Elephas maximus indicus: one gene and its partners. The main gene of each other region encodes a partner of the protein of the gene in region 4 in a complex. Links are inferred from orthologs where the notes say so. Each region holds a gene or a part of one and is shown on either strand. Other genes may lie near its edges.

Evidence for each region.
Region 1: ALYREF (region 4) and MAGOH share a complex: the UniProt entries of both Homo sapiens proteins name them as parts of the ALYREF/THOC4-EJC-RNA complex. The link is inferred for Elephas maximus indicus from reciprocal best matches to the Homo sapiens genes ALYREF and MAGOH.
Region 2: ALYREF (region 4) and EIF4A3 share a complex: the UniProt entries of both Homo sapiens proteins name them as parts of the ALYREF/THOC4-EJC-RNA complex. The link is inferred for Elephas maximus indicus from reciprocal best matches to the Homo sapiens genes ALYREF and EIF4A3.
Region 3: ALYREF (region 4) and THOC7 share a complex: the UniProt entries of both Homo sapiens proteins name them as parts of the transcription/export (TREX) complex. The link is inferred for Elephas maximus indicus from reciprocal best matches to the Homo sapiens genes ALYREF and THOC7.

Annotation. Positions count from the first base shown.
Region 1 is NC_064821.1:96,524,040-96,531,011, forward strand, and holds the start of MAGOH (protein mago nashi homolog), read right to left. Parts: upstream 3,003-6,972; 5' UTR 2,889-3,002; coding exon 2,801-2,888; intron 1,171-2,800; coding exon 1,112-1,170; intron 1-1,111. UniProt on the Homo sapiens protein: Required for pre-mRNA splicing as component of the spliceosome. Plays a redundant role with MAGOHB as core component of the exon junction complex (EJC) and in the nonsense-mediated decay (NMD) pathway.
Region 2 is NC_064837.1:70,016,952-70,024,822, reverse strand, and holds the start of EIF4A3 (eukaryotic initiation factor 4A-III), read left to right. Parts: upstream 1-4,855; 5' UTR 4,856-4,946; coding exon 4,947-5,115; intron 5,116-7,871. UniProt on the Homo sapiens protein: ATP-dependent RNA helicase. Involved in pre-mRNA splicing as component of the spliceosome. Core component of the splicing-dependent multiprotein exon junction complex (EJC) deposited at splice junctions on mRNAs.
Region 3 is NC_064838.1:69,157,934-69,165,097, forward strand, and holds the start of THOC7 (THO complex subunit 7 homolog), read right to left. Parts: upstream 3,002-7,164; 5' UTR 2,888-3,001; coding exon 2,869-2,887; intron 1-2,868. UniProt on the Homo sapiens protein: Component of the THO subcomplex of the TREX complex which is thought to couple mRNA transcription, processing and nuclear export, and which specifically associates with spliced mRNA and not with unspliced pre-mRNA.
Region 4 is NC_064837.1:71,682,375-71,689,366, forward strand, and holds the start of ALYREF (THO complex subunit 4), read right to left. Parts: upstream 3,001-6,992; 5' UTR 2,945-3,000; coding exon 2,711-2,944; intron 2,243-2,710; coding exon 2,111-2,242; intron 695-2,110; coding exon 547-694; intron 1-546. Other genes in the region: ANAPC11 (anaphase-promoting complex subunit 11), read left to right, coding at 4,226-4,334. UniProt on the Homo sapiens protein: Functions as an mRNA export adapter; component of the transcription/export (TREX) complex which is thought to couple mRNA transcription, processing and nuclear export, and specifically associates with spliced mRNA and not with unspliced pre-mRNA.

The DNA of each region.
Region 1 (6,972 bases), on a different chromosome or scaffold from region 4:
TACTAGTAGGGGTGACTTAGAATAAGCCCCTTAGTTAATATCTGAGGCTTCATTTATCTATCTGTGAAAGGGATATCCACCACCCGTTTGTCAGTTTGTTGTCCCATGGTGGCCTGCATGTTGCTGTGATGCTGGAAGCTATGCCACCAGTATTTCAAATACCAGCAGGGTCACCGTGGTGGATAGGTTTCAGCAGAACTTCCAGACTAAGAGACTAAGAATAAAGAAGTAGTGATCTACTTCCAAAACCAGCCAGTAAAAACTACGGATCATAACAGAATACTGTCTGACTTGTTTGCTTTAAACATGTCACTAGAAGGGATCGATTACTAGAGGAGGACATGTTCGGTGAAATAAAGGGCCCAGTGAGGGCACTGGAGACCCTTGGTGAGACAGATTGGCACAACAGCCGCAGTGGAATTGAACATGCCACACTTGAACATTTTGAGGATGCTACAGGACTGGGTCACATTTTGTCCTATTGTACATAAAGTTGCCATGAGTCAGAATCAACTTGAAAGCAGTTATCTACCAAATGGGATATAATACAACCCATCACATGGGCTTACAATAGAGTTAAAAAAAAAAAAAAATTTTTTTTTTTTTTTTTTTAGTGTTAAATAAGATCATATATGTCATATATGTAAAATACCTAGTGCCAGACTTGGTGTCTAACATGCATTCAATGAATGTTAACTGCTTTCTCATGCTCCCTTTCCCCGAGGACCTTATATATAATGTATTTAATTCTACAAGAGTACTGAGGAGTTGTGAGGAGGACAGGTTTTATTATCCCTGCTTTTGCAGATGAAGAAACTGAGACTGAGCTAGTTCAGCCAGGGAACTTGCCCAAGATCATATGGTTAGTAAGCAGCAGATTGAGGGTTCAAACCTAGATCTGCCAGACTCCAAATGATTACTAGTAATTGATTCAGCATTGAAAAAGCAAACACAAACTAAAGGAAGATTTGAGGAAGACTTTAGAAGCTGCCAACAGACATATGTCTACTGCCCTATTCTTTGTGTTTAATACCACTCCCAGGAAGAACAAAAACAACACAAGGCAAAGGGCTGAACTGCAGTGAATGAAGGGTTCTCAGAAGGCTCATACCTCTTTTCTGATCATGACATCATTTTTGTAATTGCTGTTGTTGGCATATCTCAATTTCCCTGTGAGAAGCAAAAAACAAATTCAGTGTACAATGAAAACAAAAGACCAAAGCATCATTAGCTACCAATACTATCAGCTGTTGCTCAAAATGTATCCTCCAACTTTCTCTTCAAATTGTCTAACGGATTTACTATTTAAACCTTTGGTGTTTCAACAATACTAGTCTTTTTAGCTCTTCACTTTAGGCTATTAAACAGCCTCACAGCCAAAACTATAGCTGACACTGAACTATATTTCTTGCAAAAGGCAGCTCAGGTGTGCTAACAGAATACAGGCAGGCTCTTTTGTGAGCTTGGGCAAATCACATCTCTATGGGTTAATGTCCTCACTTGAAAATAGGGACTCTAATTGATAACTTACCTGCGTACAGGGCCTCCTGAGGCCCAAATGAGTTTTGAAAGCATTTTGAAATCTGTAAAATGCTGGTTATATATATTATCATATGATCATGCAACCCTCTGATCTATTCCTGTGATGGAAATGTTGTGCTTTTATCACTGAGCGCGTGCAGTATACAAGGCCCTTTGTGAGCCTCCATGTGTGCCATTCAACAAGCTAAGCTGGAGATATGCTGGGGGATAAAGAAGATAAAAAGAAATAGAAGACGCGGTTTTTACCCTGTAGAATAGAAGAAACACATGTAAAACGAGCTAAATTTATTGCAACAACATCTGCACTGTTTCTTGCCTTTCACCTTTAAACTCATTCTCCATGCGGTGGATAAAGTGATCTAGTAACAGACCTGATTACTCTAGTGCTTTCATAGTACCAATGGCTCCCCACTGCCTTTCTGAAAAATCCAAGTTTCTCAGCACAGCATACTGCTAAGATGAGCCCCCTCCGGCTTTTCCAGCCTCACTCCTGCAATATTCTCCTCTTACAAAGTTGGAGTTAACCAAACTACTTGGTTTCTGCAAGAAACATCCCATGCATTTTTTAGTTTTCAGATCGTCTGCTGCTAATGCTCTCCAAAATGCGTTCTTGACTCTCACCAACTCTTATACATTCCTAAAGACTCATCTTCCTCCCCTCTCAAATCACTTCATTCAGGAAGACTTCCCCGAACCTCGGTATAGGTTAGGTGCCCCCTCTGTTTCTTTCTACCAAAGCACCTAATACACTGTTTGTCACTGCTCGTCTTCCTCACAATCAGGGCTTGTTTGATCCATCTTTGTGCTCCCAGTTAGTAGAAGTTTTCTGTCATGTTTGATTCATTTCTTTCACCACAGCGCCTCCTCCCCAAATTCTATCAATCAGCAACACCCCATTAGTTCTGCCTCCAAGAGTATTCTAAATCCTTCTCTCCACTTCTATGATCACCCTAGTTCCAATCAACAACCCTTTTGTTTTGACAACTGTAAATGACTCCTCGATAAGTAGCCCTGTTTCCCCTCTTGCCCACTCTGCACTCGACAGCAAGAGCACTCTTTTCTAAACTAGAAGCACAAGTCACTAAACAGAATCCCTGCACAAAGGCAGAACCAGTGGGGCGTATACAAGAGCGTTCCTTTCACTCCCGCGCAGCACAGGTCTAGCTCTAGTTCCCTGCCCTTTCCGGACCCCCAACCTCCCCACTCACCCGCCCCGAGGCCTAGTCCCCGCTGCGGACAGCCTGGGGCCCGCCCTTACCGTCGGGTCGGAACTCGAACTCCAGGAATTCGTGGCCGAACTTGCCCTTGTGACCCACGTAGTAACGCAGATAAAAGTCACTTTCCATAGCTCGCAAAAGCCAACCGAGGCCAAACTTTAATACTAAGCCGCACCGCCGCTGTAAGCGCCTGACACTGACGTCGAGTGCGGCGCACGGAAGTGACGTCCGGCAGCACGGTGGCCTACATCCGAAAGATTTTTCTTCGCCATCCACCCCTTCCTCCTAGAGCGGAAACAAGACTTCCCGCCCCTTTTATCCGGAGGCATATCGTGGCCGCCCCGCCCCTCTCGCCCAGAGGCGGGAACGAGGTTGTCTCGCCTTTCCCACCCGGAGGCGGGGCCAAGGCTGCCGCACCCCCTCCTCCAGAGGCGGGGCCAGGGCTGCCCCGCCCCTCTCCCCCGGAGGAGGGGTCAAGGTTGAGATTTCCTTTACCCGCTCGGGGTCTAGTTGGGGATTCAGGCCGGAAGTCGCTGGAAAGAGTCGGGGCGTGGGGCTCTGACCCTGATGAGGTCGGAACCACTCCTTTAAAGGCCCTGACTGAACATCCTGAGTCCTGCCTACCTCCAGGCTCAACCGTTGACACTGTGTGAATTGGGAAAGCCTCTTCACTGTCTCCGGATCTTGTTGTTATTGTTAGGTGCCTTGGAGTTGGCTACCTTTCACAGCGACCTTGTGTGTAACAAGGTCGAAAGGTTCCCCAGACCTTGCCAGACTCACAGTCGTGGCTGTTGGAGCGCATTGTTGTAGCCACACTGTGTCAATCCATCCCACTGAGGGTCTACCTCTCTTTCGCTGACCCTCCACTTTCCCAAGCGTGATGTCCTTCTCCGGGGATTGGCCCCTCTTGATGACATGTTCAAAGTAAGTGAGCTTAAGTCTCACCACCCTCACGTCTTAGGAGAATTCTGGCTGTACTTCCTCTAAGACAGATTTGTTTCTTTCTTCTGGCTGTCCATGGTATATTCAATGTTCTAGCCAACACCATAATTCAAAGGCATCAATTCTTTGGTCTTTTTCATTGTCCAGCTTCCGCGTGCATATAAGGCGATTAAAAAGAGCATGGCTTGGGTCAGGTCTCTGGACTTATGTCGTCTCAATAGTAACCAAGAACCAAAAACCAAACGCAGTGCCATCAAGTCAATTCCAACTCATAGTGACCGTATAGGACAGAGTAGAACTGCCCCATAGAGTTTCCAAGGAGCGCCTGGTGGATTCGAACTGCTGACTGTTTGGTTAGCAGCCATAGCACTAAACTGCTGCACCACCAGGGTTTCCTCTCAGTGGTAAATTGGGGTTAAATGACTCCTACCTTATAGGGCTAAAGAGGAACCACTGCATAGGGTGGTGTGTCTACAGGCGACTTTGTCTGAACTTTGCTGTTTAAATACCAGTTCAAGAGAACTGTTCTCTGTGATGCTTTCCCTGAATTCACAGGTGGAATTGCCATTTTACTGAAACAAACTCGCTGGCACTTGGGTTATCTCCAGGAGCGGATTATCCAATAGGCAAGATAAGCATGATGCTTACCAGATCATCATAGTGAATAATTTCACATCAAAGATTCTGCTTCTGGGTATCGCTGGCATCTCTTTCCCAGCCCCATAGCACCTTCCTACAGAATCAAAGCCTCTTTTCAAATTTACAATCCCCTGATGGGGGCGGATTACCCAGTAAGCAAGGTAAGCATGGGCTTACTTGTGCTTACTTACTAATCTGTAATGCACAGTTTCACGTGGATTTCACCTGGTGAAACCCCTGGTTAACCCTTATTTTATCCTTTTCTACCTTTTGGTGAAGAATATTGAATATACTGTGGATTGCCAAAAGAATGAAAGTATCAGTCCTAGAAGAAATAATAGCCATGATGCTCCTTAGAAGTGAGGATGGTGAGACTTCGGACACATTATCAGGAAAGACCAATCGCTAGAAAAGGACATCATGGTTGGTAAAGCAGAGGGTTGGCAAAAATGGGGGAACTCTCAGTGGGATGGATTGACACAATAGCTGAAACAAGGGACACAAGCATAACAATCATTGTGATAGCACAGGACCGGGCAACATTTTTTTTCTGTTATACATAAGGTTGCTATGAGTTGGAGTGGCTCAAAGGGAACTAACAACAGCAACAGTCTTTTGTGAATGGTTATTTGTTCACTGGTCTCTAGAGTAGGTGCTGTGAGTAGAAAGAAGTTAAACTGAACATTTGATCTCCTACTGCACATCTATCTATATACTGCTTGCCCAGCAGTGATTCTCAGCCCTGCCTGGCTGCCCGTTAGAAGCACCTGGGAAACATCTAAAAGATGCAGACACCTGGGCCTCCATGCCAAGCCAATTAAATCAAAATCTCTGATGGTGGACCTGGGCATTGGTATTTTTTTTGTAAAGCTTCTCAAGTGAGTCAGGGTTGATTCATTTTTTCAGGCCACAGCGGTTGACTTCTGTGAAGGTTTTCTGGCCGTGGAAAAATTTTTACAAGTTCAGTAAGCCAAGGGCAATTGAAACCCTAATTATAGAAGCCTGCTTTAGATCATCTAAGTTCCAGCCACAGAGGGGGAATGGAATTGGTTCTAGATGGTGCTGAGAGGACATTATTCTTGGGGTCTGGTGACTGTAACTGTATACTATTCTGTAACCTAGGCCAGTGGCCCTGATTCTCATTTCCAGTCTTGCCATTACTTCTTTTCTCCCTGAAAAACCACTGGTAGCAGAGTGTAGAGTGGCCGTGGTGGAGAAAAATAAATAACCGAAGACCTGGATTATAATAATCCCTTGTATAAAAGTGATTCATTGTGACCTTAGGTAAACTAATTCAGCTTTTAGGACCTCAGTTTCCTTATCTTTAAAATGAGCATAATAGTGTTATACACTTGGCAGAACTGTTGTCAGGATGAAAAGAAACAATGTCTTGGAAAATACTTTGCGAACTATAAATTGCTACAAAACCGTAAGACATTTTTATTATATAACACGGGATTTGTTAACGAGAGAACTGTATAAAAAACAGAAGGGAACCACCAGGCATTAAGCACCTAATAAATAAACCCCTAGGTTGGACGGCAGTGGTGGTTCAGTGGTAGAATTCTACCCTTCCATACGGGAGACCTGGTATCTCAGGACCAATGTATCTCAAGCACAGCCACCACCCATCCCTCAGTGGAGGCTTGTGTGTTGTTACGAGGCTGAATAGGTTTCAGCGGAGCTTCCAGACTAAGATGGTCTAGGAAGAAAGGCTTGGTGATCTACTTCTGAAAATCAAGCAATGAAAATTCTGTAGGTCCCAATGGTCCAATCCCAGCCAATCACCATACAGGACCATGCAGCATTTTGATCCATTGTGCATGGGCTTGCTATGAGTCAGGGCCAGACTCAACAGCAGCTAACGACAATCTTGAGGTGGTAATTTTATGACCGAAGTCATGGTCTTTTCAATCACCTCATAAGCATGTGAAAGCTGGACAATGAAAAAAAAGAAGACAGAAGGCAAATTGATGCCTTTGAATTATGGTATTGGCAAAGAATATTGACTGATACTATGGACTTCCAGAAGAATGAACAAATCAGTCTTAGAAGCAATAAATACAGAATGCTCCTGAGAAGCAAGAATGGCATGACCATCTATTTCAACTATACCATGACCCAAGAACCTGGATCACTTTATAGCCTGCTTGGAGCTGGCTGTCTTTTTAAATTTTCTGAGCATTTTTGTTATTTGTCATGTCTGTAGATGACCAGCTTCACCCATTATAACTCTTATGATTTCACTCTTGGAAAATAACCTTGTGGTGCTTCCTGATGTCTATGGCGTCCATCAGAAAAAACCCAACTGCTAAAAAATGCCATCATGTTTGGTAGAGGGTCAGCAGAAATGAGGGAAACCCTCAATGAGATGGATTGACAGAATAGCCACAACAATGGGCTCAAGCATGTCAAAGATCATGAAGATGACACAGGACCAAGCTACATTTTGTTCTGTTACATGTAAGGTCACCGTGACTGGGAACTGACTCTATGCCAACAACACCACCACTACCATAGGCATCAGGAAGCACCACAAGGCTATTTTCCAAGAGTGAAATCATAAGAATTATAACGGGTAAAGCTGGCCATCTACAGACATGGCAAATAACAAAAATGCTGAGAAAACTTA
Region 2 (7,871 bases), about 1.7 Mb from region 4:
ACAGGGTCAGCGGAAAAGAGGAAGACCCTCAAACAGGTGGATTGATACAGTGGCTGCAACAATGAGCTCAAGCGTAACGACGACTGTAAGGATGGCGCAGGACTGGGCAGTGTTTCGTTCTGTTGTGCATAAGGTCACTATGAGTCGGAACTGATTCGACAACGGCACCTAACAACAACAACAATCCCATGTGACTGGCGTTCTTATAAAAGAGGAGAAGAGACAGGAGACAGAGGAAGGATGCCATGTTATGATGCTGCAGCTGCAGTCAAGGAAGGACTGCGGCTACCAGAAGCCAGGAAAGAGGCGGGAACAGATTCTTCCTCAGAGCCCCAGAAGCAATCAGTGTGGCCAACACCCTGATCTTGGACTCTCGACCTCCAGAACTGTGAGAGAATAAACCTTTTTTTGTTTTTTTAAAACAATTAATTTATTGAGACAAGAAATTCCTGTTCTTGTAAGCCACCCACTTTGTAGTATTTTGTTATGGCAGCCCTATAGGGTCACTATGAGTTGGAATCAGCTTGACAGCAATGGGTTTGCTTGTTTTGGGTTTAGGGAACTAATACAACCCCTCCTCCCAAAGAGGTGGTGGGGCGGGGGAACACCACCAAGTGGCTCATACAGCAACCATGATGAAATGTAAACTCCATTTTATAGGCTATAAAATCTTTTATGATCAGGCCCTGCTCACTTTTCCCTTACTCCCTGATGCCCCCACCCAATCTTCCCACATTCACTATGCCACAACCCTCTGGGTGTATGTCCCGTCTCATGCCTGTCTCCAGGTCTTTGTACCCATGGCTCCTTCTGTTTGGAACACTCTGTCCACCACCCCTCAAGTCAACCTTCCTCCAGCCACCTGGATAAACTGACTACCCAGTTCCTCTCTTCCACTTCACCTTATTGCCTTTTCTCCCCCGTAATTATGGAACCTGCAGCAATCTTATTTGTTTGGGTGCTTTGTCAGTCTTGCCCTACACTGGAATGTATGTGCTGTGAGGGAAGGTGCCGTCCGTCTGGTTCACCGCTGAGTCCAGCATCCAGGACAGCGCCTGCTCAATGGGTCACTGTTGCCTGGATGGTTGACCTACGCGAGGGCCAAAACCAAAACCAAACTTGTTGCCATCGAGTCGATTCTGACTCATGGCAATCCCACGTGTTACCAGGTAGAGCTGCTCCATAGGGTTTTCTTGGCTGCAATCTTCACTGAAGCAGATCGCTAGACCTCTCTTCCGCAGCACTGCTGGGTGGGTTCAAACGCCAGCCTTTCAATTAGTCATTGAGGACAAACCATTTGTTCCACCCAGTGACCTCATGCAAGTGCAGGAGTGCAGAAGTTGGGGCAGAAGCAAGGTGGGTTCAGTCAGTGCCTTGTAAGGTGCCCACCCCAGCCAGATGGGTTTAGAGAGGGCTGAGCCTAGAAAGGAACAGTGTTTGTCCTTCAACACCCCGTGGTGGGCAGGGACCTATGGCAGGAAGTCATGCAGTGGGGACATCTTCTGGGGTCAAGGTTACTTCTATCTAGGGCATCACCTCGTGCAGTGATGACTCATGCAAAACGCAGCGCAGAGAGCAGCACTACACTCAAATCTTTGCTGCTTCTGGACAGGACCAGCCACCTTAACCTTCTCCACCAGATCCCAAGAGTCAACATGGATACAGGAAAAGAGACAGCCAGCTCTTGAGAGGTGGAGCCACGTGGCTATTCCCGCTTTGCCCACAGCCCCTGTGTGTGTTCACGAAGTTCCTGAGGCAGTGCCCTGTATCCCCCCTTCCTCTCGCCCTGTGCATCACACAGTCAGCAAGCCAAAAAGCATTTACTGAGTACTAGTGTATGCTATCTGGATCATAACAAATTATGGATAATATTGCAAAGAATGGGAATTCCAGAACACTTAACTGTGCTCACATGAAACATATACATAGACCAAGAGGCAGTCATTTGAACAGAACCAGGGGATACTGCATTGTTTAAAATCAGGAAGGGTGTGCATCAGAGTTATATCCTTTCGCCACAGTTATTCAATTTGCATGCCGAGCAAATGATCTGAGAAGCTGGACTATATGAAGAAGAACAGCGCATCAGGATTGGAGGAAGACTCATTAACAACCTGCGTTATGCAGATGACACAACCTTGCTTGCTGAAAGTGAAGAGGACCTGAAGCACTTACTGATGAAGATCAAAGACCACAGCCTTCAGTGTGGATTACACCTCAACATAAAGAAAACAAAATCCTCACAGCTCCAATAAGCAACATCATGATAAACGGAGAGAAGACTGAAGTTGTCGAGGATTTCATTTTACTTGGATCCACAATCAACACCCATGGAAGCAGCAGTCAAGAAATCAAATGATGTATTGCATTGAGCAAATCTACTGCAAAAGACCTCTTTAAAGTGTTAAAAAGCAAAGATGTCACTTTAAGGATGAAGGTGCTCCTGACCCAAGCCATGGTATTCTTAATTGCCTTATACGCATGTGAAAGCTGGACAGTAAATAAGGAAGACTGACTAAGAATTGATGCCTTTGAATCATGGTGTTGGTGAAGAATATTGAATATACTATGGACTTCCAGAAGAACAAACAAATCTGTCTTGGAAGAAGTACAGCCAGAATGCTCTTTAGAAGCAAGGATGATGAGATTTTGTCTCATGTACTTTGGACATGTTATCAGGAGGGACCAGTTCCTTGAGAAAGACATCATGCTTGGTAAAGAGAGTTGGTGAAAAAGACGAAGACCCTCAACGAGATGGATTGACACAGTTTCTGTAACAATGGGCTCACACATAATGATTGTGAGGACAGCACAGGATTGGGCAGTGTTTCATTCGGTTGTACATAAGGCTGCTATGAGTCAGAACTGACTGGAAGGCACCTGGAATGGTTACAGTTTTGTGCCAACTTGGCTGGTACATGATTCTCAGTGGTTTGGGAGCTATGATGTAGTATGGTATTTGTATGATGTAGTCACCTCCATGATGAGATCTGATACGATATGATCATCTCCGTGATGGGATCTGCTGTAAGTAGCCAATCAGTTGAAAGGGAGCTTCCTTGGGGGTGTGCCTTATGTTCAATATATGTGGACTTTCTGGCAAAGCTCACTGGTTTTTGCTCTTCCCTGGACCCTGCATTCAGCTCATCAGTATCTGACCTCCAGTTCTTGGGACTTGGGCCAGCAGCCTGCTCTTACCTGCCGATCTTGGATTCATCTTACCTGCCAATCTCGGATTTATCAGCCCCTGCAGCTACGTGAGTCAGAAGCAACCAGCCTGACCCATAGACTTGGGACATTCCAGCCTCTACAACCATAAGGGCCATTTCCTTGAGATAAATCTCTCTCACTCTCTATATTTATAATATATGTATGTACGTGTGTGTGTGCTTCATTGGTTTTCCTTCTCTAGAGAACCCAGCCTAAGACAGCACCTAACAACTCTATGCTTGGGACACAATGGTGAGCAACACATACCCGGTCCTTGTCCTCCTGACTTTAGTCTAATCAGGTGAGACACCTCCTGCCCCTCGAAAAATATAAGCTGTGTGGAGAGTGAGGGGCAAGAGACAGAGAAGGTGCTGAGCCTGAACATAATGGGTAAGTCCACTTCAGTGACCCGGGTGTCTGTTGCTCTTGAGACATCAAGGAGGCTGGGATGAATGGCCCAGGGGTAACAAGCAGAATAAATCCATGCTTAGGGAACTCAGAGCTAGAAGTTCGTATAGTAGAAAACAGATCTTTTATTTTTGTCATCACTCAAGACAGATGGGTCTGAGTAATTGTGGGGAGAATAGGGCCCTTCTCAAAAGAAGAGGGTTTTTCTATGAACAAACGGTACCCTCAAAGGACACATACTATACAATCCCACTTATAGGAAATATCTAGAATCAGCAGATGCATACAGACAGAAGCAGATTAGTGGTTACCAGGAGCTGGGCAGGCAGAATGGGAGTTACGACTGAAGGGGTAGTTTCTGCTCGGGGTGATGAAAAAGCTTTGGAAACAAATAGTGGTGACAGTTCCACAACAGGGCGAATGTAATTAATGCCACTGAATGGTATAGTGAAAAGGGAGCTCTGGAAGATGAACCCTCTAGGTTGGAGGGCACTCCTAACACAGCGGCCCCAACAACGGACTTGAACAAATCAACGGTCAAAAAGATGGCGGAGAATCGAGCAACGTTTTGTTGGCTCAACAGCAACTAAACTCTGGTAGGAGCTTTCATCAGTCGCATTAGGAGATTAAAAAATGGCAACATAACCAGAGTTGACAAAAGGCAGTTTAAAAACTCAAAAAGTTTCCGAATGTCAGCGATTTGAAATATGGATTTCCATCTGGCTTTGGTAATAATTTCACACGGTGAGATATTAGCCAGTAATAACATCAGCCTAAAACGTATAAACGAGTAAATATACATATTTTAGAGAGTCATACTCAAATTATTTCCGCTCAAGGCGGAATCACCGGGAGACCCTGCCTAAGTGCCCGGGTGCCGACCCTCTGCCTGACTCCAGGGTCTCCAGTCTCACGCCGACTCGCGGCTGCCATACGTAGTGACCGTAATTTAGGGCAATTTCACCCTGCAGCTCGGGTAAGCCCACTAACGCGACCCTGCCCCACCTTGGGTAGGAATGTACCCACAACACACTCGCGCCGGGCACCGCCAGGCCCACTTCCTGCAGCCTCCGAGCCACTTGTACTGCCTCTTTCCGCGAGATCTCCAGAGCGCGCGAGAACAGCGACTCCGCCCCTTTCACGTGACCGAGAGCGCCCCGCCCCTCGCAGGCGCGGCCCGGTTCCGCGTTCGTACGCACGCACGCACAGGCAGGCGCGAGCGGTGGCGTCACTTCCTGTCGGAGGCCGCAGCGGGTCTTTGCTTCCGTTTGCCGCCTCGGACCAGCCGCCGTCGCAGCGCGCCCGCTCGTCTTTGCTCACTCGCAATCATGGCGGCCACGGCCACGATGGCGACCTCGGGCTCCGCGCGGAAGCGGCTGCTCAAAGAAGAAGACATGACCAAGGTGGAGTTCGAGACGAGCGAGGAGGTGGACGTGACGCCCACGTTCGACACCATGGGCCTACGGGAGGACTTGCTGCGCGGCATCTACGCCTACGGTGAGCGGCCGCGGGGCGCACGGGGGGCTGGCGCGCTGCGGAGCGGAGCGGAGCGGGGGCACTAGGGCGGACGGGCCTTCCGGACCTGCCCCAGAGGTCGGGGTCGGGGGTCGGGACTCGGGACGCGCGATTCCACGCCCCCAGCGCGTCCGCCAGCAGCGTCGGTGTCGGTTCACACAGTTCTCAGTGCTGAGCGCCGTGCTCGGTCCAGTAAGCACCTCACAGCCGTTCTGGGTGCATTGCACCCACTAGGTGTTAGGCCGGAGTCCTGGTGGCGCATTGGTTAAGCGCTCGGACGCTAACGGAAAAGTCGGCGGTTCTGACCCACCAGCTACTCCGCGGGAGAAAGATGTAGCAGTCTGCTTCTGTCAAGATTTCAGCCTTGGGAAGCTTATGGAGGCGGTTCTTCGCTGCCCCGTAGAGTCGTTATCAGTCAAAATAGACTCAGTGTGGCAAAGAATTTTTTTCTAGTTTTAGGTGTCAGGCAAAGAACTGGGGGCGCAGTGGTTAAGCGCTCGGCTGCTAACTGAAAGACCAGCGGCTTTTTGGAAGAAAGGCCTGGCGATGTGCTCCGGTAAACAGTGCAGCCTAGGAAACCCTGTGGGACAGCCCCACTCTGGCGCATGGGGTCGCTATGAGCAGAAATTGACTCCACAGCACCCAGCAACAGCAAGTGTTAGGCAACAGGCGCCAATGTAGGCTTTGGGGAGGTGGAGAAGCAGACACGTTCCCACGTCAGGGGGCTTTAATTGTATCTGTGAGAGGGACAATAACTGAAGCTATTTCAGACAGTTGTAATTGCTGTGAAGAACATAAAGCTGGGTGATTGACTAGGGAGTGACTGGGGGAGGGGAGGGGAGGGCAGTTTTAGTCAAAAAAGAGAAGATAGGTAAGAGGTCTCCAGCAGGAGGTGACACTTAAGGTGTGGCCTGAGTTGAGGAGCCGGCCGTGAGGAGACTGCTTGTGGAAGAGCATTCCCAGCAGAGGGCACAGCCGGTGCCAGGCCCAGAAGCCTGACTGAGGCCAGTGTTCCAGGAACAGAAGGGAGCCCAGGGGTGAGTTTGGAGAGGTAGTCGGGGCAGTTGTGGAGAGCATTGTGTGATGTGATAGAGAGCTTGAATTTAATTTAGGAGAGCATTCTGAATGTTCTGGGAGTTGGGGGGGTAAGGTAGGCGTGGAAGCAGGGGATGAGTTAGGAAGCTTTTGTTCCAGTCCCTGTGAGAGGTGATGGTGTTGTCACGGAGACAGAGAAGACCAGTAGAGCCAATGTGACTGGATTCGCTAATGGAGTGAATGTAAGTGGCAGAGGGCAAGAGGACTCGAGCTTGATTCCTCGGTGTTTTGAGGAACAGGGTGGATGATGGTGCCACTTGCCTAGGTGGGGAACCCTTGAGGGAGGCAGAACTGGGGATGCTGTCTTGGATGTGGGGACCTTGAGAGGCCTAGGATCCATCCATTGGGGTGTTGGGTGGGCTGTTGTCTGTGCAAGTTTGGAGCCCAGGACAGAGGTCAGGGTGGGCATGTGGATATGAGTTATCAGTGAACAAGGTAGGTGGTCTGTTTTCAAAGCATGGGACCGAGACGTGTTTTATCCAGACTGTTTTCAGCGACATGACACCAATCAGACGGTGAAGAGGCAGAGCTGAGGCCCCGGGGTGAAAGGGCAGCATTGCAGCAGGGCCTGTGCTGAGGCTGACTGCTGTGCAGTAGATTGCTTTTACATGGCTTTTTTTTCATGGTCTTAGGAGGTGCCTTCGAATTGGTTTTGACTCGTAGCCACCGTGTGTACAATAAAGCAAAACACTGCTTGGTCTCGTAACTCCCACCAAATGATCGGGTGGAACTATGCAAATGAGTTGCTAGTGGCCCACCAAGGGGATTGGATAGCTTGCTAATAATGCAAATAAAGTGCATGGCATCCTTGTGTGTGGGGGGGGGACCATGCAAATAAAGTGTATAGAACCCTAACAAGGGGATTGGTCAGTTTTTTCCATCTCGCTAGGCTTAAAATGAGCCATCCCAGAGGCAGAAAGGGGGGGACGTCACTACCACCAAGAAGGGATGAGCGTGGAATCTGTTCCTTGGACCCAGGATCACTGCTCTGAGAACCTCCTAGACTCAGGAGACAGAACTGTAATGTGAGGGACAGCAGGAAGTGGTGGCAGAGAAATGGCAGCAGCAGAACCACGAGGTAGAATGAGATGGCGCAGTGGCCTTACCAGCCCACAGAGTTAGGCAGTTACAGTGGGTGCGCTGGCCAGTGGAGCAAGAAAGCTGGGGAGCACCTTTGGGCCTGGCTTGCTGGTGGATTGGGGTGTCCCCGGGCAGTTATTGGCGGAGCTAAAGAGCTTTGTAACACTTACCCAAGTGGGGCAGGAAGGCCAGGCGGAGGCCTGCCTCTGGGCATGGCTAAGAATATACTGTCCTGATGGAAGAACTGTATCCTGAGTCATTGTTCCTGATCCTGAATTGTAACCTGGTACTTCTCTAACAAACTCCTTAACTGTGAGTATGGTCTGTGAGTTCTGTGTGGCTATTGCAGCGAATTATCAAACCCAGCAGAGAAGTAGAGGGTGCACTGGGAGGGACAGCTGGTGTCAGTATTGGTAAAAAGGTTGGACAGAGGAGGTACGTTTGACCTCCACATCATAGGAATCAGCCTTGGGCTGTTGATCTTGATTCTCCTTCCCCCTTGTGAAGTTAGAGGAGGTCAGAAGCCCCCGCTGTGCCATTTTTACAGTTATGTTTCCTGTCAG
Region 3 (7,164 bases), on a different chromosome or scaffold from region 4:
GGTACTGGTACTTCTCCAAGAACTTTTCAGGACCATTCTCGCCTGCATAGCATCTATTCTCTACACAGCAGTCCAGAGTGATCTACAAGATGTATCAGATTGCTAACTCTCCTGCTCACAGTCCTCCCATCACTTCCCAGTGCCAACAGAAGGCAATCCAGCCTCCTTCCCATCGTCTGTACGGCTCTTTGGGAGCTCTGGTGTATGTCTCTGACCTCCTTTTGGACTTCACTTCTCCTGGCCCTCCTGCACCCAGCTTTACTGGCCTTATCTTCCTAAAGGGCACAAAGCACTAGTTATTGTCTGTACCTGGAACACTTTGCTGGGCTTTTCACATAGTTAGCTCCTTTTCTTCCACTTCAGGTCTCACCTCCAATGTTACATCTCAGAGAGGTCTTACCTGATGGCTGTATCTTAACCTAATTGTCAGCACTCTTCCCCATTACTTTGTCATCATTACACTACATTCTTTCTCAGAACATAATCAATTTCAGAACTTAATAACGTTCTCACAAACTATCTTATCTACTTATTTGTTTGCATGCTATTGCTTCTCTCTCCCAATGGGCAGGGCTGCACTCTGTCTAGCTTACTGCTGTAACCCCAGCATCCTGCATTGTGCCTATAAGGTACGCGATAGATACTTGTTTACTGATCACACATACTATTCACATCTCGATTTTTAGTAAAAGCTCAGATGAGGAAACCCATGTTATAGAGGACTGCCCAAAGACGTTGTGGTTTGTCTTTTCCTTTTATGGTCTAAAATATTCTTACAAAAAGCAAAAAACTCTGCTCTGGATTAACCAGGCCAGCAGAGCTACCCACCTAACCACACGGGCTATTTATTGGCTTTAACACGCCTTTCTGAATTGTGATTTAGCCTACTTTCCCCTATAACAGAGATGTGCTAAGAAACAGCCCATGATTCTCAGTGCCAACAAAGGGGTTGAAGAATGACACTGGCTCCTCTTTATGAGGACCTCAAAGAGAAACTTTTTCTCTAGTGTTTAAATCAGACGAAAAGTTTGTCCAGGGTATCTAATGCTGCGTTCTGTCACCAACACTGGCTCACAGAGTGGAAAGGTCTCACCTCTTGGATGGGCCGCTAAGGGAGCCCAGCCACTTGTAGCTTTCTTAACTAACGCACCACACTTCACTTCTTGCATTTTAAAGATTGCCCCGCGTCTGGCTTCCTCCTGTTTTTCTTAGTCTCAATGTCCTTTTTGCCCTGTTTTATCATCTATTTACATTATTCTGTATTTTCTCACTATGGTGAGCTGAAGTAAATATTTTCTGGAATAAGGCATGTAAATAAATTCAGACTGAGGACCACTGCAGCAACATGCATAAAATAACATGGCTAACAGGTGAGAAATCAATTGGTTCTGGGAAAGAAAGAAAAGTAAAAAAAAAAAAAAAAACACCCAAACCCATTGCTGGTGAGTAGATTCTGACTCACAGCGACCCTACAGGACAGAGTAGAACTGCCCCATAGGGTTTCGGAGGCTGTAAATTTTTATGGAAGCGGACTGCTGCACCTTTCTCCCGCGGAATGGTTGTAACCTCAAAGGGAGAAAGATCTTGCCTGTTCATTCTGGGCTGTAATCCCAAGGCCTAGCCCAGCTAGGATAAATATTACTGAATAAATGAAACTGGAATGAAGCAAAGTTGAAACTCCTCATGAGGTTTCTGGATCGTTCACAGCCTCCCACCTCCCCTACTCCTTACCGTATCCACAAATTTGGGCTCAGCACTCTCCCTTCCATTGCCCAGCTCTTTAATATGGAGACCCTGTCTGCCCCCACTCTTCAGAAGTGGTCTCTCCACAGGCATCTATAGTTACTGGTCACCCTCTCCTCTAACAGACCCGGTGACCAAAGACCCCCTCCCCCAAGCTAGGCTCTCCCCCAGTTGCTCATCATACCTGTCCACCTTCCCCAGGGTGCCACACAATTTCTGCCCTCAGTCCCTAGACCACCCCCTGGGCCCTTCTTGACCACGTCCACCTTCCTAAGCTGCCCTCACAACTGTACACAAACTCAGCCTCTGTCTCCAGCCTCCCTCCATCCAGTCCAACCAACAAACCACCTTCCCTAGGATACACACAAATCTTTTATTGCCCCCACCCAATAGTGGCTCCTCGTCTTTCAAATAAGTCTCCAGGCACACTCCCAGATTGCCCTCCAGGCACCCCATCCACATCTATTCCTTTCAGATGACGTCCCCAGCTGCCCCTCCCCACTCCCAGTCACTGTAGCTCGGGGCCCCTTCCCAGTCTGCCCAGAGGACCCCTCCAGCTGTCGGCCTCCACACCCCGATAGCCCGCCTGACCCCTGCGCTTCCATCCCCTTCCAGCCCTCCACAGGCGCTCGGACCCCCAGCTCCATGCCCTCCACAACCCCCACCCCCCACAAGGGCTCCCCGTCACCTCGCGGGCAGCCCAGGCCTCCTCGGGGTCCCAGTCCGGCTTCCGGCCGCCCCGGCCCCACGTGGGCGCCCAGCCCCCTCCCAGCACCCCCTCTCCATGCCTTGCGCCGCCTCCGGGAGTCACCGGGGGTTTCGGGGGACACGGGCGGAGGCCAGCGCCCCCGGAAGCGGCTGGGGGTTTCGGGAGAGGCCCAGGGGCTCCGAGGGGTCTGACCGGGGAGGCCCAGGGGCTCCCGGAAGCGGCCAGGGAGGCCGGGAGTCTCGGGGGAGACCGACAGGTCTGACTGGGGAGGCCGGGGTCCCAAGGCGGCCGAGGGTCTCGGGGGAGCGGCGGGGGGTCCTGAGGAGGCGGCCGGGGAGAAAGACTAGGGTCTCTCCGGGGCGGCCGGGGGCCTGGCCGGGGCGCCGAGCGGGTCCCGGGGCGGCCGGGGGCCTCACCGTCAGTCACGGCTCCCATGGCGTGCGCGGCGGCGGCGCCAGCTGAGGCGGCGGTTGGCGGCGGCGGCGGAGGTCAAACTCCCACAATGCAGCCGGGTAAACAGCCATGGAGGAGGAGGCGCCGCCCGCGGCCGCCCTCGCCGCCGCCTGAGCCGCGCCGCCGCCGCCGCCGCGGGACCCGCGCCCCCCGCGCCTCGTGAGCCGGGGCGGCCGGGGGCGGCGCGTGGAGGCGAGTCCCGGCGGGCGGCGGCGTCCGTGCAGCCCCGGCCGCCGCCCCTCGCGCCCGCCCGGAGGCCGCCGCCCGCCGCCAGGTGAGCTCCCTCCCTGGGACCACCCCGTCCGGCCGCCGCTGGGGGGCCTGGCGCCCGGGGGTGCTGAGGGCGGCGGGGGCTCCGGGCTGAGCCGGGCGCGCGGCCGAGGGTCCGGCGAAGTTGGCGCCCGCGCGCCCGGCGGGTCTCCTCAGGGCTGCGCGGCGCGGGGCGGCCACGGGGAGGCCGGGTGCGGGGGGCGCCTCGGGCCCTGCGGCCGCGCCGTCTTCCCGGGCTGAGAGGTGCTGGGGAGCGGGAAGGGGAGAGGAACTTGTCGGCCTGGGGGGCGGCGCCCAGCACCAGCGCCGGGCACCCCCTTCCCCGACGGAGCGGGACCCGCCGGCGGCCACCGAGGGCTGCTTTCATCTGCTGCTTTGATTTTAAAAAAAGAAAAAAAAGTCTTGTGCGCCCGTCCCCGTGTTAAGGGGAAGTTGGAAGTGAAGGGGTGGGGGCCCAATGAGAAACGCTGGTTTCCGCGCAGAGTTACACGTTTCCGGAGCGCCCTGCAGATGCTGTTGGCATCCCTTCCCGAAGTCCCCCAGCTCCCACCTGGCCGAGGTGCCCGTAGGTGGCAGCGGCGCAGTGGTGAGGGGCGGCCCGGAGCCGGGCACCGGCGCAGCCGGGTTGACCTCGGTGGACCGATGGGTAGTTAGCGCAAGACGCCGGGCTGAGCTCCGAGCCGGCTCTGGTGTTTTACCGAGCCATGTCGTGACTCTCTTCCCGTTTTCTTGCCTCCCAAGTACTGTCTGCGTCTTCATATCCGGATGCAGCAGTCGTATAGGATGGATTCGGTGGTTTCAATTTTGTTGATTGTATTTTACTAGCAGGGACTGGTCCTCCCTGTTTTCCCTAGTTCTTTCAAAGAGGACGAGCTGTAAATGCAAACGTATGGCTGTAAAGTGTGTTCAATCTCTAGCTAGACGTCGGCGTATGCAAAATTTTACACACATCCACGAGTCCAGAAACTTCAATAGTGTCATTCACAGCGGTGACAGGAATTAGCACCTTCGATTTTTAAATTACCGTGAGTGAAGATTCGGAGGTTTCACTTGCCCTCCCCTAGGATATGAAACCTCCCCTGGCTTTGAAACACTATTGGGCCCAAACGCTGGCTCCACATGGCATCAGACTGTTCAGTTACTGGGTTTTAGAGAGAGGGAACGCTAACCAGAAGGATTGCTTTAAATCTTCACTACAAACAGTAAACTGAAAGTTTCAATCGATTATCTAGCCACAGTGACATTTTAGTGGGGATTGTTGTTGTTCAAAAGGTAATTGTCAAGTGATGAAATGATGTTTTTTTAAATTGTTACTCGGTTTTATCATAATACTGATTTTGAAACAGTATCTAATGGTTTAAAATAAGCTTTAATGTTTTTATAGGAATGTGTTACTGCCCCTCGGAAGTATTTTCACGAGACATTCTGTCAGTTTTTCACAGATAGAGCCTTGCAGACACTTTCAGAAGTTCAGTTAGTAATTTATAATTTTGTTGGACAGAGCTCAGAAATTTCTAATGTATTAATACCAAGACTTTAAAGGAGGACTTCAAACCTGTTTCTTCTGTTTTGAACCCCTGCTGAGAATTTGCATTTCCACCCCAGATATACTGAATCAGAATCTATAGTTTAACAAGATCCCCTCGTGATTCTTATAATAAATTTTGAGAACCACTACTCTGCTAGTGATTCTCAGAATTGGCTCCTAACCAGCGGCCTTAGCCTTGCGTGGGAACTTGTTAGAAATGGAAATTCTCAGCAGGGTTTTGAACCTGAAGTTGCCTGTTCAAAGACCTGCTTTAACACTTTTGTGAACCAATTATTTTCTGCTTTGAATTTTTTATTGATAGTATGTTTTCATTAAGGGAAGCGTGCCGAATCATTGAGTGTATCTGAATTTTTGGTGGGTAGAATGGATTTTTTTTTCCTTGCCCCCTCCCACAAAAAAAAGCCTACTCTAAATGTTCAGCAGTGCATATGAAGTAGCGTTCGTTAATTATACCCCAGCGTCCCCAGTGGGGCCTATTAGTACATATATGTAACAAATAAAAATTTTCAAAATTTGTTTTTCCTACCAGAAATTCAGACACTTTGTACAATACCCTGCAAAAACAGTAATTGTTGCAGGACACTCCCGTTTCCTCACCCTCAGACAGTCCTAAAGACCCCTGCCTTTCGGTGGCACAGACTGTCAGTGGTCCAGCAGCTTCCCATAAACGTTCAGAGGCAGAAAAAAGTGCTTGGTCCCTACAGGTACCTGTGAGCGTGAAAGGGTTAAAGTATGAGGTGTACTTGAAAATAAACATTCCTGAAAGTTCTTGATTCAGTAGTGGGAAACACAACATAATGTGAACCTTTATGGCCTCTTTAAAATCTCCTTTTCCAGCTACATACTTTAATTCACAAGTGCATTGACACAAATTTGTGTTGAACATTTAAGAATTTTTCTAATTGCTTTGTCTTCATATTGTGTGTGTATACATGCACGCACACACGTATGCATGTATGTTAGAAAAACAGTTTATAGCAAGGGAAGATATTTTAGTAAATTTTAGAAGTTCTGTTTCTAAGGAGGTGTCTGTGGACAGAAACACAGAAATGGAAGTAGCAGATTTTAAGTTATAACAAAACTGATCTGGACTTTGAACTTGTATGACCTTAGATTTAGTGACTTTGATTTACTCAAATCATTCTGTTTTCTTTGAGAGTATGAGGGGCTAGTCAAGGAGGTTAGTCTGAGTCTGCATTTACCATTTACCTTCAGAAAGTGTAAAGAATGATGAGGGAGCTGGCTGGTGGCTTCACCCTGGGCCTGTGAAACGATGAAGGCGTTTCTGTCATACGCTTTTAGAAGAAGGGTTATTCTATTTTAGAAGAAGGGTCTGTGGGCCTCCAGGAACCCATGAGTGGACTTGAAAGGATTCCTGAAGCCTCTGTAGTTGTGACCAAAACTTTTTTTGTGTATGTGTATTTTTCTTGGGGAGAGGGTCTGTCTATACCTGTTTTATAAAAGAGATCCAGGGGTCAAAGTGAGACATACCTTTTTTATTAAATAGAATGGAAGTTAAGAATACTCATTCTTAGGAGAAAAGAATTAAGAAAAAGTGGATCTTTGTGCTCAGTACTTGCCTTTTAAAGCTGTCTTCCCCCAGCCAGGATGTCCTGGAGGTGCAAAAACTCTTGGGTTTCTTCCTACAGGAGAGCGTTGCCAGCAGTTGATAGGCCATGCATACACACAGAGGGCAAGCCAGCCTGCTGTGCCAGTCCTGGGGCCACTGTGGCTGTTTTTAAATTATATCTAAAAATTCAGACCAGATAATTGACAATGGATAAGCAGAGACATGAGTATGATGCCAGCCCTTGGAGTAAGTGGTTCTTTCAGCTCCATTCTCTTTTTTGCTCTTCTAGCAAATTTGAAATTTGCCTAGGAAGTAATTGTCCTAAGAAAACACATTTGTACTTTGGCAGGACTGCAGAGCATGATGGGGAAAACATAGTTTCTGTGCCAAGGCGGACCTCAGTTCAAATCTGGGCTCCCCCATTCACTGTAGCTGCTCTACCTGCTTTACCTTCCGGTACCTCATTTGAACAGCGCCCACCTAATAACGTGTATGTGTTGGAGGGTGGCATGATGTTTTCTGTAAAAAACTTTGAGCTCCTCATTTGGCCTATAGGAGGGACCTGGAAGCTAGGTTTGGGTAACATTTGCCACAACAATCAAAAATAAATACCTGAGCAAACGTGAAAAAAAGTAGAGTCATGTTATTTGATAATAAGTTATTAAAATTGGTATGCTGAAAGTATTAAGTTAAAACATTTCAAGAAATTGGATTTAAAAAATGAATTAGGAACAAGTGGTCCTTGCAGTGTAGACACCTGGGGGAAGGTTGAAGGAAATGGTGTGGTTAGAAAAGCTGAGGACACTGATGCTGGGCAAAAAGAGACAGTAGCGGCTCCCTAGCATCTTGACTGTCTCTCCGAGGAAGATT
Region 4 (6,992 bases):
AGTCCAGATGCCACCATACCCTGGGGTCCATGCAAAGACTGGAAAGGGTCTCTCTGTGCCTCAAATGCTGCCAACAAGGACACAAGCATGAAAACACTGGTGGAGAAACAAAAACAACCCCACCACACCTCATCCTTCTTTTCCTGTCTAGGCAGGTGGGCTGTCTGGTAACCTGTCTGGGGTTCTGGTGGGTAGAGAGGTGTGGGTGACCTCACAGAAGAAGGACCGGTACCTTTGTCTTTACGACTACAGCCCCGCACTCAGAGGTGTACTATGGCAGTTCTGAGAAGGCTTCACAGAAGTGAATCTTCCGGAAGGAGCTGAAGGAGGGGAGGGATGTAGCTTGCTGGATGGGGGTTCACAAGAGGTTGGTCCCGATGTGTGGGGCAGCATGAGAGGTGGCAGAATGGAAGAGAGAGACAAAGGGGCAAATGCAAAGTGTGCTCAGCCACGGGGAGGGAGCCACATTTCTATATGACAGGTACCAGCCCCAGTGCCACAACGTAGGATCTGGCCCCTCTCATCCTGGTCCAGGCTGATACTCACCGTCCAATGGCACGCCATTGTACTGTTTCATCGCTTTCAGGGCATCCGCCTTCCGCTCAAAGTGCACGTCAGCGGTTCCTAAACTCCGGCCAGACCGGTCATAGTGCACTGCAGCCTTCTTTAAAGTTCCAAATTCAGCAAAGAGTTCCTGGAAATCAGGAAAAACAAATTAACAGAAAAGCTGTGTCCCAAATACAGTTCCTGCAAGTGTGATCTGCTCTGGGGTGTTTCCCTGGGAGACAAACATATGCAAGACAAGGTAGCGGGGATGGGAACTGGGGCGGGGGGGGGAGGGGGCTGGCAGACAGCAACTTCCTACAGCAGGTGGGTCTGAGGGCCCCTGTCGGCGTTGGGAGTGGACATCGATTTCATGAGGCAGGTGAAGGAAGTTGCAAAGTCCACTATGAAGGACACAAAATTAAGTCACGATTATCTCAGACCAAGGAGACGTCCAATCAACAGCAAAGGCCATGATCACAGAGCAAGGGAAGCTGTCCACACAGTGGAGCAGCCTGGAGGGCACTGACGGAGGAGCCCTGACCCCAGCCCTCCCCCAGGCAGGTTCTGGCTCACCTTTCCCTCTCCTCCTACTCAAGCCTGCCGCAAAGGCTGAAGTCAAGCGCTGCCATGGTAACTGCCCTGACCTCAGGCAGGCTGGGAGTTGGAGAGGGAACCCAGAGAGTGGGGCTACTCCGGCCGCAGGCACACAGCGGGAAGTGGAGTTCACCAAAAGCGGTTTCCAGTGGATGCCAGAAACCACCTTAAAAAAAGTGTTGAGACACTGTGAGTGCTCACCAGCCTTGCTCTGTCCTTCCATGGCAAAGTCACACGGCTAGACTCTGGGAAATTGAACCCAGAAAGGCCCAACACCCTGACCTAGACATCTGTAAAACTAAACCCAGAACTTACTCCTTAACCAAAAAACCAATTTAAACATATTTGGGATTCAATTAAAAAAAAAAAAAAAAAAAAGCCACGGGCTTTGACCAAACACGGTTTGAGAATCATGCCACAGATGAGACGTGGCGAGTGCTGACAAGTGAGACCAGGTTTACAAAAAGCTATACAATAGGACAGGACTCAGGCAAACATGACAGGAAAAACACTGAAGGAAGATCCTCCCGCTACACTTCATTCGTTTTAGCAACAAATTTTCTAAATCCCAAATCATCATCATCAAAATCAGCACAAAATTAGAGCAAGCAGCGGGGTCTGTCACTGATACCTGAGACCCATTCACATTTTAACCAATCCTTTCCCTGCTACAAGTTGGAAGCTCTAGCAGGGGCTCATAAGGCTCACAGAGTGCGTTTCAGTGCTCAGAAGTAGCTCCTCAGACTGACACAGTCCTATCTGCAAGCACAGACGGGCCTACTCGTGGAACTGTCAACTTCAACACAATCACTGCTTGACACTATGTTCAAGCTACAAAGTGGCCGCTAACACGGGCACAAGGCGATCCCGTGGTTAGCTGGGAGGGCTCACTTTTCTAAGGTGGGAAGGGAATTCGGGGCCACATTTCAAACTGTGCAACTCTGCTCAACGAGAATCTCACGTTCCTTACCTGAATATCAGCATCCGACACTCCAAAATCCAGATTTGACACCAGCAGTTTCCCACCGGTCTCCACGCCAGCACCGCCCCCAAAGCCGCTGTCGAAAAGGTCGTGTTGCCATTTGTCTGGCAATTGTTTCGGCTGAAGGGGACGAAAAACCCACAAAAACAGAAATAGGCCCGTCAATCGCACTCCAGGCCTCGCTCGCGACTACCACAGACCCTCTCTCCTCCGGGTCTCGGGGGCCCCAGCTCCGGGGGCTGCCGTCGTCCCAGCCGCAGGCCCCATGGTCCCGACGCGGCCACACAACTTCTCAGTTCCTTCAACTAACTTCCCGCCGCCGTCGCACCCAGCGCACCCTCGGCTCCTGGCCGTTACGAGGCCCCGGGGCCCGAATAAGACAAACGACCAGAGAAGGTCTCTGTCTCCGGTATCTGCCCGGGTGGCGCGCCCTCGCCCCCGCCCACACCTCGCGGGCGCCGGCACCCGGGTCCGACCGCTCCTTCGACCCCTCTCCGCCCCCGGGCCCGGCCAAGCCGCGAGCCGCTCCCGCCCGGCTCACTCCCGCCGCGTCCCCGGAGGCTGGCTGTCCGGCTGCCCCCTACTCACCCGGCTGTACGGCGCCGGCCGGTTCCTGCCGCCGCCGGCTGCGCCGCGGGCAATGGCCGCTCGGTTCCTGATGGGCCCGCCGCCTCGGTTCACTCGCGCGGCGCCCTGCGCTCCGCCGCCGCGGCCGCCCTGGGAGCCGGCCCTGCCGCGGCCCCGGCCCCCGCCGCGGCCGCCGCGCTGGCTCCGGTTCAGTTTGATGATGTCGTCCAGAGACATGTCCATTTTGTCGGCCATGGCGGGCGCAGAATCGGCCTCGGCTCGAGCCCGCGCGTCAGCACGCCGTAGCGTCACTTCCTTCGTCGCGCGGGGCCTTCTGGAGCCGCGGCCTCGGAGCGGCTGCTGATTGGCTGCGGGCGGGTGGCTGAGCTCACGGGGCAGGGCGACGCAGGCGCACTGGCGCGCAAAGCTCCGCGGGCGCTGCTCGAGAAGTGGCAGGCAGCGGCCGCGGTCGTTTTTAGACCTTCCCGCGCGGACGCCGGCGCTGCCAACGGACGGGCGGGCGGGGCCGCGCCGATTAGGTCGTAGAAGGTGCGCGGGTTGGACGGCAGCCGTTGGGGGCGGGGCCTGGGCGGGGCGCCCTTTCCCACGCAGCCCCGCCCTTTGCCGGCCTCGGGTCGCGCTGCGGAAGCCTGGGCTTGGGGGGAGGGGGGGCACTGGGGCGGCTGGGCTCGGGTTTGGGGGGCTTCTGAGGCGAATGGGCTCGGGAGGCCGGACTGGAGGGCGGCCGAGGTGGGTTCCCGACGTGGCCGGGGAGCTGAGGCCTGACTTGGCAGCGGGAACGCCGAGCTTCCTTGGGCGGTGACTGGGTCGTTACCTGCATTTCCCACCTCCCCGTCCACCCTTCCTGACGATTCATGTCTGGGCACTTTGTCATCTGGTTCTGTCGTCAGGTACTGGATTCACCTCGGGCTCAGCCCCGAGGCGGGTGGAGGCCCGGAGTAGACGCTTGATTTTTTTTTTGGAGTGGTGGGGGAGGATTTCTGGAGGTGAAAACTCACACCGAACTGGAATTTTGGCCTCCATCTGTAATGCCTAAGCTGGTGGCTCTCATTGTTTGCTAATCGCGTCATTTTAAAGAGTATTGTTTGGCATAGTTTTACAGTTCTCTAGTGGGAACCAGCAGACCCTTTTATGAGCTTCAAGGTATAACTCGAGGTCCGTGAAGGCGTTCTAAATGTGGTTGGCAGAATGGAACGCTGGACAGACTCACGCTGTCCTAAGCAGGATCTGAGGCTCCTCGGGTGCTGAGTCTTCTTCCTTGGAGATGGGTCTCCAGCTTTCTCCTTTGATTCTAAAAGGGATTCCTAGTAGATGTTTCTTGACAGCGGAGTACCACCTCTGTGCACCTTTTCCTGCCCTCTGAGTGGAGCTGCACCCCATTTGCCAAGCCACTCACAGCAGTGCTGACCCTCTTGGATAGGGCAAATATTCCTTCTTTGGTGCCCAAATGTTCCAGCTCTGCATACTAAATTTAACAAGGTAATCCTCTTCCCCCTAGCCTGAAGGCTCCAGGCCATGAAGGTGAAGATCAAGTGCTGGAATGGTGTGGCCACTTGGCTCTGGGTGGCCAATGATGAGAACTGTGGCATCTGCCGGATGGCCTTCAACGGCTGCTGCCCAGACTGTGAGTACACCCCTGCTCTGTCATGAGCTCTGTCTGCTGGCCTTTCCTAGTAAATACCTGCATGCAATCTCTGGGTGTTAATATCCCGTCCCTGAAGAAGAGCTGACATCTAAAAAGCCAGGCAGTTTGGGCCCATGTTTGTATAATCCAACCCACGGTTTTGAAGGAAAAAGCATGCAGCCTTGTGATGTAATCAGACTCAGCTGTAAAACACACAGATCAAAAACAGGTGTTAAAACTTTTTATTTGATCGTTTTCAAACAGACTAGAGTGGTATCAGCACACACATACCCATGTAGCACATGGTGTTGACAGGTAATGGTATTTTACCACTTTTGTTTCACTTTTTTGCTGAAGTATTTTAAGGTAAGTCATAAACATTTTGATCTCTCACGTCACACACTTCAGCCACATCTTGAAACCTGACTCGCCAACTTCTTCTCCAGAGACAGCACTTTGGTCACTTCTGACAACACAGCAGTAATCCCTTAGTGCCGCCCGGTACCTCCTCCTTGTTCAGATCGCTCTAGTTTGTCCCCAGGTGGTTTTGTACGGCTGAGTGGTTTGAACCAGGATTCCACATTACATTAGGATGCGTTTACTCTTAAGTCTCCTTGATCTAGAGCAGTTCCGTCCTTTTGGGGCAGGCAAGAGCCTAGTATCTCACTAGAACTTGATTTCTTCCGGTGAAATTCAAGAGATTGGGTTTCAGTACAAACAAGATTTTATTCCAGGCTTGAGCTCTTCGTCTGCCTGGCCAGAAGGAGATCTCATCACTTGGGATTAACAAATCCTGATCCCATCAGGCTGGAGGGATGGGATTTGATGGGATCGTTGATTGACTGTCCTTAATCAGGCTGTGTTGTTGATTGTTGGGTTCAGTCAATTCTGACTCATGGCAACCCCATGTGACAGAACTGCCCCATAGGGCAACCTAGCAGATCACAAGGCCTTTCTCCCGAGAAACTGCTGGGTGGGTTTGAACTGCCAGCCTTTCAGTTAGCAGGCAGGCAGTTGACTGTTTATGCCACCTGAGTAGCAAATGAGTTTAGTAACGGAATTTCTAGAGGTTTGGTTTGATTTCATCTTTTTAAATCGCCCTTCATAAGGATGCCCCAGATACTGAAAGCCTGCAGGGGCAAGGACTTGCAGTTTCCGGAGCAAGGAAGGTGTTAACTTCTGCAAAGTCCTGGAAAGCAGCTTGAGCGAACGTGTTGTGCCTGTGCCTAGGCTAGCTGGGCATTGGTGTGTCACTGAGTCTGTGTTAGTGGTGGCCCCCCGTCCCTGCGCAGTGGTGGACGTGCACACGGCCTGAGGAACCTGGCCTGTGTGTAATCAGCAGGTCCTAGGACTTGACACCACCACACTTGTGTGATCCACTCAGATTGTGTTAAAATGGGGACTCCTTGCTGTAGAGGATAGCGACTGGGGGTCCCACCTGTGGACTGGCACATTGTTCAGCGACAGTGATCCCGTTTTAATGTGCAGAGTGTTTGACAGCTTGTCTTAATTATCTAGTGCTGCTCTACCAGAAATTGTACAAGTGGATGGCTTTAACAAAGAAATTTATTCTTTCACGGTCTAGGAGGCTAGAAGTCCAAATTCAAGGTGCCAGCTCCAGAGGAAGGCTTTCTGTTTCTGTCAGTTTTGGGGGAAGGTCCTTGTCATCAATCTTTTCCTGCCGAGGAGCTTCTCAGTGCAGGGACCCCAGGTCCAAAGGATACGCTATTCTGGCTTTTGTTCCCTGGTGGTATGAGGTCCCCCATCTCTCTGCTTGCTTCTGTCTTTTATATCTCAAAAGAGATTGAGTTAAGGCACAACTTAATCTTTTAGATTGAATCCTGCCTCAATTGGCATAGCTGTCACTAATCCCATTTTATCACATCATAAAGATAAGATTTACAACACATAGGAAAATCATATCAGATGATAAAATGGTGGATGGTCACACTATCCTGGGAATCATGGCTAAGTTGACAGATACTTTGGGGGGACACAACTCAATCTGTGACACAGGTCTGAGGTGCTGTCTCCACAGGTGATGGGGCACCAGGCTGCTCTTGATAAAATCAGAGTGGCTAAGGTCACAATAAACCACCTTATCCCAGAGAGTTCAGGCGTAAAACAACGGTGCACCTTCGGGTGAGTCATCAGTGTATTTGTCATCACGTATGTCAGCAGGCTACTTGCACAGCCACACTTCCTGCCTCCCTTGGGCCCAGAGCAGCCGTGACACCCCTACTCAGTAGGCAGGCCTGACACCCCTAGTCAGTGGGCAGGTGTTGACACCCCTACTTAGTGGGCAGGTACTGAGTGATTGGCTTTTCTCCCCCGTTGTCAGCTGTTGTGGAGCCTGGCCCTTGTTCATGGAGACCCCGTGTACAACAGAAGGAAATGCTGCCCAGCTCTGCACCATTCCTGTGATTAGTTGCAGGTCAGACAGCTGTGACCCATAGGGTTTTTATTTGCTGGTTTTCGGAAGTAGGTTGCCAGGATTTTCTTCCTAGTGCATCTTAGTTTGGAAGCACTGCCGAAACCTGTTCGGCATCATCGCAGCACCAAGCCTCCACTGACAGATGGGTGGTAGCTGCGCATGAGGTGCCTTGGCCAGGAATTGAACCTTGGTTTCCTACATGGAAGGCAAGAATTCTACCAAGC